2 linked regions of the Cricetulus griseus genome follow. The protein of the gene in region 2 interacts with the protein of the main gene of each other region in a pairwise test. Links are inferred from orthologs where the notes say so. Each region holds a gene or a part of one and is shown on either strand. Other genes may lie near its edges.

What was found.
Region 1: the proteins of Spdef (region 2) and Nkx3-1 interact in a two-hybrid assay, tested with the Homo sapiens proteins (2 studies listed by BioGRID). The link is inferred for Cricetulus griseus from reciprocal best matches to the Homo sapiens genes SPDEF and NKX3-1.

The regions. Positions count from the first base shown.
Region 1 is NW_023276807.1:224,106,379-224,112,979, reverse strand, and holds Nkx3-1 (homeobox protein Nkx-3.1), read right to left. Parts: upstream 3,460-6,601; coding exon 3,165-3,459; intron 2,306-3,164; coding exon 1,881-2,305; downstream 1-1,880.
Region 2 is NW_023276806.1:232,853,735-232,860,757, forward strand, and holds the end of Spdef (SAM pointed domain-containing Ets transcription factor), read right to left. Parts: intron 5,864-7,023; 5' UTR 5,838-5,863; coding exon 5,432-5,837; intron 3,885-5,431; coding exon 3,687-3,884; intron 2,932-3,686; coding exon 2,884-2,931; intron 2,784-2,883; coding exon 2,637-2,783; intron 739-2,636; coding exon 560-738; 3' UTR 130-559; downstream 1-129. UniProt on the Homo sapiens protein: May function as an androgen-independent transactivator of the prostate-specific antigen (PSA) promoter. Binds to 5'-GGAT-3' DNA sequences. May play a role in the regulation of the prostate gland and/or prostate cancer development.

The sequences.
Region 1 (6,601 bases), on a different chromosome or scaffold from region 2:
CCAGCACTAACATGATTTAAAAAAAAAAACCCACAGATTAAAAGGAGAAGTGAACTGGACTCCTCTGCCTTTTGTGTGATCTAGCACTGCCACAGTGGTCAGCAGCAGGAGGCAGCAAACAATACTTTAACATGGTTCCTAGGCTGTTTAAAAAACAAAATACCAGGTGCAAGGGGCCAAATTTCTATCAACTCCTTTGGCAGTTTTGCCACCACCAGTAAATTGGCCCATTTAGAAGGAGGAAATTAAAAGATGTCTCATGGCACAGAATTGAGTGGTAGGATAAAGGGATTTCCTGGCCCCAGAAAGCCTCGTTTGTAATAGTTGTACCCTACCTTCCATGTCTCCCATTCATCAGGTTACCTGAGGCAACAGGATGGAAATGGAAGGGCTGACATTCTTTTGCCATCTACACAGTTCTCCAGAGCATTTACACGGTTTATCTGTGGATGAAGCCACCGTGATGGTGCATTTTGAAGACAGTTTCTCTTTCCTTAGAACATCTTCCTGCAAAGCTACCAGCCCCTTGCTTGCTGGTTGGCCTGGGCTGACAGCCATGCCCTGCCCAGGGCCTGTCCACCTCTCTTAGATCCCTTGCTTTGTACTGTTTTTCCTTCTGCATGAGAACTGGACAGCACTAAACCTCCTCTGCCTAAAGGGATCCCCAGGACCCCAAGGCTGTAAGCCTTTGAACTGTAATACCTAGCCCACAGCCCTGTGAAGCTGCTGTGATCTTCAACTCTCATGTCTTTAAAAAGGAATTTGATGTTGAGTATTTTTAAAGGAAAGAAAGTTGCTAGTTTTTTTTTAATTATGTCTTTTGGTCAATTTATAATCTGTAGTTATTTTTTTTAAACCAGGAAAGATAAAACTTGAGGGGGGTTTGCATATCTTAAGCTAAATAAGATACACATGCATAGATTAAAAGCCTGAACTGAGAAGTCCTGAAGGAAAGAAGGAAAAAAAAAGGAAGATCCTTTGTTATAAAATGCTATTGCTTCTGTCATAATGAAGTGTGAACCCAGACCTGAAAGCTCCCCACTAAGCTCTCTGTGAAGGCAGGAAGGGTGGGCAGAGGCCTTTTCTTCAGTCAGTCACCACTGAGGCGCTCACCTGAAGTGTGGAAACTCCCTAGGCCCTGCCTTGGACAGGAAGAGCCTGTTTCAAGGCCCACCCTGGCAGGCAAACTGTTTACACAGCTTGTCTTAAACCCCTTACTGTGTGCACCCTGCTCCACTCAGGGTGCCCTGTAAATCCTTGAATTGGTATATTACTGCAAAAAGAGTTAAGAGGTTAAACATTCCATCTCCCACCCCCTTTATGCCCCATGCCAACCTGCCTCAGTCGCTAAGGTCTGTTTTCTTTTTCTTCAAATCTTCCATTTACCCTCACTTTTACAAGGGCAGAGAGAAACACTGGCCATTGTTCAAGGCCAACAGGAGATGTTTTAACCCAAGTTTAATTCAAGAGGACACCCGCATCTAAGGGGTCCTTCTTCCCTTGGCCTTTATGTGGTGCTCAGATATGGGAGAGGATGAGGTTGCAGGGACAGAATTCTTAGGAACCTTGTAGCCATTGCATCCAAAGTCATGCTGAGGTCTAGAAACAGATGAACTTGTCTGGCCCTCTCCAGACAGGGAGCAGAGAGCAGTGACCTACAGAACACTTGGAACTGTGTGACTAGATACTAAAAATAGCCACTGCCCCCGATCTTTCACTGACCCACCAGAGAAGAATTGGAACATTCCCTGGGAACCCCCAACCGTTTGGGTCTGTACACGTCCTGTTCCCATCTCCTTGACCTCAGCCATTCCGTCTTTTCCCCAGAGACTCTCCGGGAAGGCAGTTTCTGATCTATGAAGTTGTCATCAGAACTGCTGTTACCAGAAAGTTGGACGCCAGCTGCCCAGACAATAGAGGTACGGGTAATAGGGGTAGCTGGTGTACATGGAGACCAATGAGGTGCTGGATAGGCTGTCTTCTTTCAGGGCTGGCAAAGATAAAGGTGAGCTCTTCTCCAAGACTCCCAGGTCTTCTGCCAGTTGCTTTCGCTTAGTCTTATAGCGTCTATTCTGGAACCATATTTTCACTTGGGTCTCGGTGAGTTTGAGGTTCTTGGCCAGATGAGCCCTTTCAGGAGCAGACAGGTATTTTTGATGGCTGAACTTCCTCTCCAGCTCAATCACCTGAGTGTGAGAGAAAGCAGCCCTGGAGCGCTTCTGAGGCGGCTTGGGGACCTGGGGGGTGCTTGATAAGTCTCCTGGAGTGTGTTCACAGTCCAACAGATAAGTCTCAAAATGCCCATCTGGAGAAGAGCAGAGGGGGCAGGAGAAGAAAAAAAGTTACACGTTAGTCCAGAATTCAAATCACCTTTCTGCTTTTGGCCAGCGAACAAACAACCACTGTCCTCTTTTTTTTTTTTTTTTACACCCCCCCCCACGCCTGACTATGGAACTACCCCAAAGGAGAAATGAGTAGGTTTTTATACTATGAATTCGTTTCTAATAATCAGTGTGAACTAAGCGTAGGGCTTAGTGTTTTACAGTTAAACTTTCTGCTATGTTTTCTTATGTCATTGAAAACAGGAATCTGGATACGTGTGTGTAGCAGAGAGATGGGAGGCGCCAACAAGGAAACCGAGGCGTCACGGGGGGCATTTAAGTGGGTGACTAGGGCTTATGGAGATGAGCCTGGTGGCCTGGGCTGGTGGCCAGTTCATCTTCTATCCCAATCCTCTTTCTATAACAGAGGCTTAGTTACCTGCATAAGAAGTGATGGGGTGGGGGTGGGGCGACGGCAAAAGCCGACTCGACGTTATTTTAAAGACTTAAAGGAACATCCATAATTTTATAGCTCGTGGAATGGAAACGCAAAGGGAGCCTGGGGATGAGCTTGATTTATGAATATTCATGGGTCACTATTTGTTTATCGTTTAGTTCTAGTCGCCAGCGGTAACCGGCTGGAGTCGCTGGAAAAGAGTCAAGCAGATGGCAAAGTTGTTAGCAGCCCTCAAGACTGATGCCCAACGTGGCTCGGTGCCGAGGACGGTGAAGTCCTTCCGGTGGCCACGGGCCCCGCACGCCTGCATCCAGAGCTCGGGGCCACCCGCCTGGGAATAGTCTTCTTCAGTGTAGCGCGCCCACCTCTAGGTCTATTCTGCTTACCTGTCTCGGGTTCAGCCAGCGTCTCCGCGGGGCCGGGTCGGGTATTTGGCTGGTCCGCTAGAGCCACGCCGCGACCTCCTGCTTCCTCCGGGTCTGGTGCGCGGTCACTCCTCGGGTCCGACTGGCGCGGGTGCTGCGGGCTGCTCACGTGTCCCCCGCGCCGCTCCGCGCGGTCCCGCAAGATGTCCTGGATGAGGAAGGAGGTGAGCCGCTTGGACTGAGAAGGAGGCGCTGCCCAGGGACTGCGGCCACCCGCCTCCACCCGCGCCTCTCGGGGGTCTGCCGCCCTGAGCATCCCGCCTCCACTGCGCGCCGGCTTTGCTGGCCTCCGGCCGCGCGCACTTATACCCGTGGGGAGCGCCGCGCCGCCTGCCCATTGGCCGCGGGGACACGGCTGCGCCCGGATTGGTTGCCGCGGGCTCCAGGTGACCGCGAAGAGGCCAGTCCTGCCCCTGGTAGGCTCCAGAATCCTTCCTTGATGCGCCCTTAGCCTTCTCTGGTTTCCCTCTCACCATAGGTAGCTCAAGCCCTTTCCGTAGGCTGGCCACAAACCCCAAACGCTATGTGTAAGACCTGAGTGTAGTTCTCAGAAATGGCAAAGCGTCCTGGCCCATCGAGCTGAACAAGCGGGTCTCTACCACCTACCTTAATTGTTTAAATAACAAGAGAAATGGACAGCAGAATCAGATCTACTGAGTTTAAGGCTGTCCTAGGCCTGGCAGCCGGTACACTCCAGCCCCCACTGGATTCCCAGCGGGACACATCAGGACAACCAGCAAAAATCTCACAGGGAAGGTCAAAGTAGTATTGCGGTGTTACATTTACTGAGTTGACCACGCACTGTGACCCCAGGAAACAATATTCTTAAGAAATACTCACTCACTCAAGCCGGATGTGGGCAGCGCATGTCTTTAAATTCAGCGAAAGGAGGCAGAGACAGGCAGAACGCTGTGAGTTCCAACTCAGCCTGGCTTATATAGGGAGTTCCAGGCCAGCCAGCGCTACATAATGAGACCATGTCTTAAACACCACCACCACCACCACCACCACCACCACCACCACCACCACCACCACCACCCACGCACACACAAAAAACAACAACAAACAAACAAACCAAACAACCAACCAACCCCACAAAAACAAAACAAAACAAAAAACCTGAAAAAAAAGAGATGAACACTCAAGCGCAGGCTTCCTATCTATGTCACCTATAGTATGAACTATAAAAGGAATGGGCTAAAATAGTAACATTCAGTGAAAATTAGCAAAGCCTACTCTGGTGTTCTTTTGAATTACTTTATGCAATATGTGTCTACAGTGGTCTAAGGCATCTTCCACTCAGCTGGATCTGCTCAGAAGAGTCCGTTGTATATCTGGGGAGTAGGAAAGGGAACAGGTCATGGAGAATGCAGCAACTGCGGAGGACACTGAGAGGGGTAACCAAAAGGCCTTCAGAGAAGCTGGCTTTCCTCTTGCATTTTACCTAGATGTGTTATCTTTTAAGAATGTAAAAATACATAGCTTGAAATAGTTAGAGGTTCATAGGAAATTGCAAAAATAACAACTGCAATGTCCTTCGTGGTAGCATCTTATTTTATTTATTGCATGTGTATGTATTGTCTGGATAAATTACCCTCCCTCCCCGGCCCACAGGTAAATGCTGTTTCCCAGGGTTGTACTTTGGAGAGGTGCTTTGGACCTTTAAGAGCTGCAGTCAAATCAGAGGTCCTCAGGTCATGGAGGACATAAGGATTTTAGAACCCAGTTTCCACTCCTCTCCTGACCCCAGTGTGTGAATTCTCCCACTAGCCCATGTTCCTGTCATGTGTGCTGCCTTCATCTGAGGCCCCCAAGCCTCCGACTTGAATCTCTAGACTCACAAACTAAAATAATTGTCTATTTACCTAACTATTCTGCGTCTGGTATTTGGTTGCAGTGACAGAAACCTAATGCAGGAAGTCTCATTTCTCTGCCCATGAGTCCAGTTGCTGTGTCATGAGGTGAGTGATTTGATGGTTCGTTTGGATCACCAACTTGACCAAGGCATTAGTGAGGCTCGCCTTTAGGTGTACCTGTGAGGGTGTTTGCAGAGAAGGTTAACTGGGGTGAGGAAGGGCAGATATTTACCCTGAATGTAGCTCCATTTTTGTGGGTTAAGACAGAAAAAAAAAAGAGGGGAGAAGAGAGCAAGTTGTGTCTCTTGGCTGATTGAGAAGTGAACAAACAGCATCTTGCTCCTCCCACTATGACAGGCTACCTCCTCAAACCATGAACCAAAGGAAATCTTTTCCCCCTAAATTACTTCTGTTGGATATTTGGTTACAGCGGTCAGAAAAAAAAATGGCTGACACAGGAGGTGCGAAACAGAGCTCTTCCAGTTGTCTGTGACAACTGTTTCCACAAGCAGCAAGGGTCAGTTTCTCTGCATCCTCATCAGCATTTGTTTTTACTTCAGCCATTAACATATGTCCAGTGTTGTCTTATTTAAGCTTTAGTTTTGTATTTGCAGCTGATGGCTGATGATGTTGATATCAGCCAGGCACAGGTCTTCATTGATGAGTCAGTATAAAGTTCTAGTCGAAATAAATCCCAGATGGCTCAAGGATGTAAACACAAACAGGCACTTGGGGACACCTTTTAAAATCATGCTCATTAAAGAAATGCAAATCTGTCAGGTGGTGGTGCATGCCTTTAATCCCAGCACTTGGGAGGCATCTCTGTGAGTTCGAGACCAGCCTGGTCTACAAGAGCTAGTTCCAGGACAGCCTCCAAAGTCACAGAGAAACCCTGTCTTGAAAAAGCTGAGAGAGAGCGGTAGGGAGGGAGAGAAATGCAAATCAAGGGCTGGAGAGATAGTTCAGTGGTTAAGAGCGCTTACGGCTTTTGCAGATGACTGGAGTTCAATTCCTGACACATGTCAGGCAGTTGTAAATTGCCTGTGACACCAGCCTCAGGGGAGTCGATGCCTCTGACCTCTGTATGCACCTGCATGCACATACACACACATATGCAAATATACACATCTTTTTTAAAGTAAAAATCTTTTTTTATAAAAAAAAAAGAAGACATGCATATCAAAGCCACATTGATACACTCCTTTCTATCCATCAGACTGGGAAATAGTTGTTGTTGAAGTGCCATCCGGACTGTGAACTGCTGTGGACAGAGATAAACTGATCTGCATATTTGGATGGCAACTTCACAGTATCTCCTTACACTTAAATGAACATATCCTTCAACACAGCTATTTCAGCTTTTGCCCTGGAAACTCATAAATACACAAAGTCCTGACCTGGGAACCTGTTTTTCAGTCCAGTCACAGAGAATCAATTGTGTTTATAAAAAAGTAGCTACAAGTGATCCATATAATTTACAACCAGATGTAGATAACGAGCATATATTTATTCAGTAGGACAGCTGTGCCTGCTCAGTGACAT
Region 2 (7,023 bases):
GCTCCATGACACCTCCCTGGGCAAACCTTCCTTGTGGTCACCACCCTAGACACCTGTGACCATAGTCACCTTTGACCCCTGCTGGCCTCTTGGCTGTGCCATCCACAGCCAGACACTGGGGACCTGTCAGTTATCTTGTATGTTTATTATCCATTCCTAGGGCACCCCTGGGTCCCCAACACAGGGTACAGACATTTCTTAGCACCATGCCAGTCATGTTACAGGATGGGTGGCAGGGGCAGGAAGCAGTAACGTCATTGTCCTGTGAGTTGCCTTGGTCCGGTCTCTGTGTGATGTAGGTGGTTCTCTACGAATCCCACAGTCCAAGCCTGGGATGGGAACTTCTCCATTGTGAGCAGTCTTAGCTCCCAAGACCCTCCAGGGGTCTGTGTACTTGAGCAGTATGACCTGAAGAGGGACCCAGAGAGCTCATGTGTAGCCCCATACAAGTGACCTTCTCTGTGACCTTGGATTCTGGGGATTCCGATTGGGCAAAGGCCCAGGCCAGCAGGAGAGTGGCTGTCTGGAGCAGGCAGTGGGCCTCCAGCCTCTGTGGCTCTCAGACAGGATGTACAAACTGGTAGACGAGGCGCTGAGAGATGTCAGGTTTGCGAATGATCCCCTTCTTGTAATACTGGCGAATGGAGCGACTTAGCTTATCATAGTTCATGGCCGGCCGGTTCTTACGCAGGCCCCACAGCCGCGCCACCTGTGCGGAGTCCTCAATTTTGAAGATGCCTAGGGGAAAGGAGCGTGGGAAGAGAGGAGGGGCGTGTGGAGGTCGAGGGAAGGAGAGAGACAAGATCCGTGGGTCACTTTGGGGGAAGCGTAAGGGATACATGCTGGGAGCCTCTCCAGCCCTAGGCTCGGGACAGGCCGTGAGAGGCAGCAAACATCTTTCTTCCTTTCTTTCTTTTGGAGACAGGGTCTCTCTACATAGCCTTGGCTGCTCTGGGACACTGGGATTAAAGGCATGTGCAAACGCATTCAATAATTTCACTTTTATTACTGGTTGAAATTCCAGCTTAGTGTTAGATTGAATGCAGGCTGAGTACCCCTAGTCTGAAATTTGGGGTGAGAACCGCATCAGAGTTTAAGAGTTTTAGGATTTAGGACTATTTGACAGACTTTCCTGGCCAGAAGTCCATGATGCTGGTCTGAAGAGTTTGCATTTAGGGAGCATTTAGGAATTTTGTATTAAAGGTCAGGCAACCTACATCATGAAAGTGAAATTCACTTGTTTTTTAAATATTTTGATTCTGGACCGAGAACATTTAATATATACAGGGTTCACATTGTGTCTCTGGTAGACACCATGAGTCTCTCTAGGTTGAAACTATGATTTTTCTTTTGATTTTTTTATACTCATTTACTTATTGTTCATGACTATGTGAAAATGTGCCCTGGTGTACACACATGTCAGAAGACAATTTGCAGGAACTGTTTCCCTTTCCATCCGGCGGGATTGAACTCAGGTCTTCAGGCTTGGTGGCAAGTGCCTGCCCGAACTGAGCTGTCTCACCGGCCCCCAAAACATGATGTTTTATGGTTTTTAAGATTTGATAAAGGTTTATTATTTCATGTGGATGAATGTTTTGCTTGTGTGTGTATGAGTGCGCGCCTGGTGCCCGCAGAGGTCAGAGTGGGGGCATCAGATTCTTGGTGCTGGAGTTAGAGTTGAGGACAGCACATGGTGCTGGGAACCTCGGCCCTCTCAAAGACCAAAAATACTTTTCAAAAATTTTTATCATGGCCAGGCGTTGGTGGTGCATGCCTTTAATCCCAGCACCTGGGAGGCAGAGGCAGGCGGATCTCTGTGAGTTAGAGACCAGCCTGGTCTCCAGAGCGAGTGCCAGGATAGGCTCCAAAGCCACACAGAGAAACCCTGTCTCGAAAAACCAAAAATAAATAAATAAATAAAAATAAAAAATTATCATGTATACAGTGCTCTGCCGGCATGTATGGCTGCACCCCAGAAGAGGGCACCAGATCTCATTACAGATGGTTGTGAGCCACCGGGTGGTTGCTGGGAATTGAACTCAGGACCTCCGCTGAGCCATCTCTCCAGTCCTGTCCCCCCACCCCCATCCCCCGCCTCTGTGCTCTTTTGTGGTTTTTTTTTTTTTTTGAGATAAGATCTCTCTATGTAGACAGGGGTGGTGTAAAATTCACGGCCAGGCTCTGCCTCCCTAGCGCTGGCCTTAAAGGCCTGTGCCCCCCCACGCCCTTCTCTCAAGTTCGCACTGTGCTCCAGGCACGGTGAGGCGCTGAAGGAGTCTCAGTACAGGGGGAAGTCTGGTGAAGCCAACGAGGATACCAAGAGCACCCTAAACCTCAAAATCCTTGAAGTTGCAGGGGTGTGGATCTCTGGGCACATTTGGCCCAGGGTGAAGGTGGAGTCAGTCGAGGCCACACCCCCAGCGCCCCTCCCGGATGGGGCCACGCCCCAATCAGAGCCCTGCGCCCATTGCCCGTCGCACCTCTGCCTACCAGAGGCCCCGCCCCCTTGCCCCCTCTCCCAGCTGTTGCTCCACCCCACAGAAACCCCGCTTTGCCTCCCCTCCCCACCCTGCCCCTGGGACAGAAGCCCCGCCCCTCCGGGCAGGATGAAGGATGGACGTGTGGGCGGGTTGTACCTTTCTCCTTGTTGAGCCAGCGGATGAAGCGGCCGTAGCTGTGGGGCTTGAGCAGCAGCTCTTTGAGGAACTGCCACAGGTGGATGGGCTGCCCTGAGCATGACGAGTCCACCTCGCCCTCTGTCCAGCCCTCCTCGCTGGTGGAGGCTGCAAGCCAGGGGGCAGCGTGAGTGGCAGCCGCGACCACCCACTCTCCCGGGCAGCCTCCCTCAGCCCCACCAGGCCTTCCTGCGCCTGCCCGGCTCACCGCAGTAGTGAAGGGCCCCGGGCGAGGTCCTCTCCTTCATCCAGGCCGCTGTGGGACAAGGAGGGGAGGTCGGATGACACCTGTGCCCGGGGGCCCACAGCTCCCTGCCTCCCGCCCCTCTAGGGTCCCAAGGTACTAACAAGGGGTGGGGATGTCAGAGCTGCGGCTCACTGCACGCCTCCATGTGGAGGGGCTTCCCTTTCCTCACTGTGAAATGGGACAGGGACCTCCCTTGCGGCTGTGGCTAGGTGGCAGGCGCCGAGGCCTGGCTTTTGCATCAGGCCTTCCCCTCCAGTGAGCCAGGCGGCCACCCGCTCTGCCCACTGCTAGGCCATCAGCCGGGGACAAAAGCCCTTCTGCTCAGGTCACATTCACTGGTCAGGTGCCTGGGTCGGGGCAGACAGTGACCGCTCACAGCGTCACCTGAGTGGGCCCTGTCCCCCATTCATCCCAGACCTCTAAGGCAAGGGGCCTTGACCCAATGAGCACTTGTAGCATCCTCCACAGTGCCGATGAGAGAGACACAGGTGTGCCCACACTCTTGTAGAAGTCAGAGGGCAATTTGGGAGAGTTCATTCTCTCCTATCATGCAGATCCCAGGGATCGAACTCAAGTTGTCAGGCCTGGAGGCAAGCACCTTTATCCACTGAGCCGCCCTTCGTCAATAAAACATAAAGCTAACCTTAAGAAGGGTTTTCCCTTTAAAAGGGAGAGTAAGAACCGGGCACCGGGTGCCTGCCTGTGATCTCCGCATAATGGCCTGGAGCTAGCAGGGACTTGGCCCGAGCTGTCTCATCTCTCACCTGACTTCCAGATGTCCAGGTGGGCATGCAGCACGTCTCCACCCAAGGGTGCACGCTGACGGAACTGCTCCTCCGTCATGGCGCACAGCTCCTTGCCGCCCAGCTCCTGGAAGGCCTTGCCTGCTGGAGGCAGCCGGTACTGGTGCTCTGTCCACAGCAACCACTTCTGCACGTTACCAGGGCTCCAGTCCCCAGGGTCTGGGCAAGAGACAGCATCCTAGCTGGGACAGTTTGTGAGCAGCACCCAACACCCATGTGGGGCTTTGTGTCCAGGACCCTGAGCTCCTAAGCCTTGAGGGGCCCTGTGGTGGCAGGCATTCCACAAAAAAGGAAGTGAGAAGGAAAAGCCACCGCCCTAGCACAAGCTCGCTGCCTCTGTAACCCGTCACGTTCAGGTGTCTGTCTGTCCAGCCTCCCACAGGGCCTTTCTGGAGACCCTAGCTCTGAAGGGGACACTGACATTCAACCACAAACAGCCAGATACCACTTGCCATCCACATTCTTTTCAAGGAGAAAACCCACCCGGGAACCCTTCCATCCTGGAATTTTAGAAAAGGGGAAACTGAGGCACATGGGGGGTGCATCCCTTGTCCAATGCTTTGCACACAGCTGGGCTCATAGCAGCTGCCCCAAATGGCTATGGATCAGCGGAGGGTAGAGAATGGATTCACCAGCTATGTGTCCCCTGGGAAGCTGCTCTCAGGGGCACACAGCTGGAACCAGACTGGGTCACAGTGGCAGTGAGGCCTCCAGGGGAACACTGGTTCAAGCCAGTGTCCCAGCTGAGTGACCTGAAAGCCAGACAGCTCCCACTTCATAAAGCCATTTTCTCCTTTGAGGTCAATGCAATTTGTTTCTGTCCCCATTGTTCTGAGAGCATAGCCCTCCCAAGCAGGTACAGGGGACGAGGTACTGTGGGAGAGCCAGCCTCCTGGGGTAGGGCTCTCTGGAGTGTGGGAAAGTGGAGACAGGAGCTGCCTTGGATGGGGACACCACCTGGGGGCATCTAGCAGAAGGGGGTGGGGGCAGGAGCTGGCTGTGAGGGAAAGAGAAGCCCCTCCTTCCCATGGGAAAGCTGCAGGATGGAGCCAGGACTTCACTTCCCCAGCCGTACCACTCCTCATCAGAGTCCTCCCCATCAGTTGACAGTTTAATGACATCTCATCATGCCAGCTCCATAGACAGAGGGACCTCTATGTCCTGCTGACTGCCTAGTATCCTGTCCCTGAAGGGTGAAGGCTGAAGTCACGTCCAGTGCTGTCTAGGAACTGGGGTACACAAGTCCTTTAGAGGGTACACACAGAAAGTGAGGTAGGGACAAACATACTCTCGGAACTTCAGATGGCAAACCTAGCATGGCAGCAAGACAATGGGGAAGCGAGGGTGGGATGTGGGATATACAATCTCAACAGAGGACCCGCTGTCTCATGAGGACGCAGTCACCTAAGACCCAAAGAAGGCCAGGGAAGGGCTAAGGAGTTATCTACAGGAAAACATTCTAGGCTGAAGGACCAGCCAGAGCAAAGGAGACCGGAGAGGGGAGCTGAGTCTCAGAAAAGGCAGGAAGCCGGGTGACAGGACAGAGCATGGACTCTCTTGTCCGCTAAGAGAGGGCAGGTACGGTTGGGCATGGCCCTGGCTCTAGCTGCTGTGTGTCTCTGCTGCCCAAGGTGATCAGAGTCCATCTAGCAGATCCCCGCCCCGCCTGTGTCCCGTGTGGAGGTGGGCGGGAGGGAGGGTCTCACCTGCTGTGATGTTGAGCAGTTTGCATGCTGTCTCAATGTCCTTCAGGACCTCGCCCACCACCATGGACTGCACCTGCTCTAGCGAGTGTTCGTCCAGGCTGCCCCCAGATGCCTGGCTGTCGATGACCGGACACTGCTCAGGCTCCTCCAGCAGCTCCTCCCTGGCACTGGCCGCGGGTACCTTGGCTACCCAGCTGCCGTCCTCGGGGTACATGTTAAAGTAGGAGAGGTAGAAGGCAGACAGGCCCTGCTCAGGGGTGGCCGGTGGGCTGGGGCTCCATTCCCGCTTCTCAGGGCCCACTGCTCCCTCCTCTGACTTCTCCACACCTGTCCGCAGCGCTACATCTGGGGACAGCAGCAGGCAACCGGGGGACGCATTGCTCAGGCCTGGGCTGGCACTGCCCATGCTGCTGCTGAGGCTCACGGCTGCGTCTGCAGAAATGGAGGAGGAAGGAAAGTGGGTCTCATGGCTGCCCTGGCTCTGCGGGGGCCACTAAGCTGGCTTCAAGACTCGGGGCTCAGCAGGCAGTGGGCTGGGCCTGGAGAGGCCTGGGGGCTTCTGGGTCACTGGGCAGTGAGCACAGGGCTGGCTGGAAGATGATAAGGTGGAGGTGTGGGCAAAATGGGGCATGGGCAGGTGGAGGGGCAAATTTTTTAAGGTCTTAAGTAGCACAGGCTACTTAAGCACAGACCATCTGGTCCTCCGGCCTCCTGGAATTCCCAAGTGCTGGAATTGCAAGTGCACAGCACACAGGGCTGTGGGGAGGACCAGGGCGCTTTGATCGTCTCTGGTCATGCTCTAGGACCCACTGTGTGCTGACTTTTGCCTCTGCAGGGGGAAAGGGAAAGGTCCAGACTGGAAGAGTCCTACAGGTCAAGAAATGCCTTCCTGTTCTCTCAGACTAGCAGAACTTGACAAATGGAACTGAGATGAATTTCAGCTCTCTCTCTCTCTCTCTCTCTCTCTCTCTCTCTCTCTCTCTCTCTCTCTCCCCCTCCTTGCTCAATGCCCCCCTTGCTTGGTGCCCAGCCCCGCCTTGCTCAGTGCCCAGCCTTTCCCTTCCCCACTCTCCAGAACAGCCCTGCAGGCTCTGGCAGGGACAGAAAGCCAACAAAGGAGGAGAAGGTGTTGCCTCTGGTTCCAGCTTTTCCTTTCAAAGAATCCTTTAAGTGACAAGGAAGAAAAGGTTTGGGTGGGTGGGGTGGGCAGGGGCGGGGCGGGGGGGTCTGGAGCTTCGGGGGACAGAGGGCAGGCCTGGATTAATTTCAAGTCCCTTCTGTGCAAACATGTGTGTGTGCCATGGGCCCTTGGTGTTTACCGAGGCAGTGTCCACAGCCTGCTCTGTTCCTGAGTCCCCACCCTGGCCTGTGCTCACACCCTATACCCCAGGTGGTAGCCCCACCCCAGGAGAGCCTTCTCCAGTCTCCATCTCTCCTCGTTCACCCCTCAGTGGCCCTTCTGGCCCCATCCACATCCCCAGCAGCCCCACGCCTGCCACGTTAGGAGAGTCCCTGCCAGCTCCCCGGGCCCCGTGCCCAGCTGCCAGCCTTTCCAAGAGGCAGAACTCGATTCTCTGTGGCCTTATGTTTGC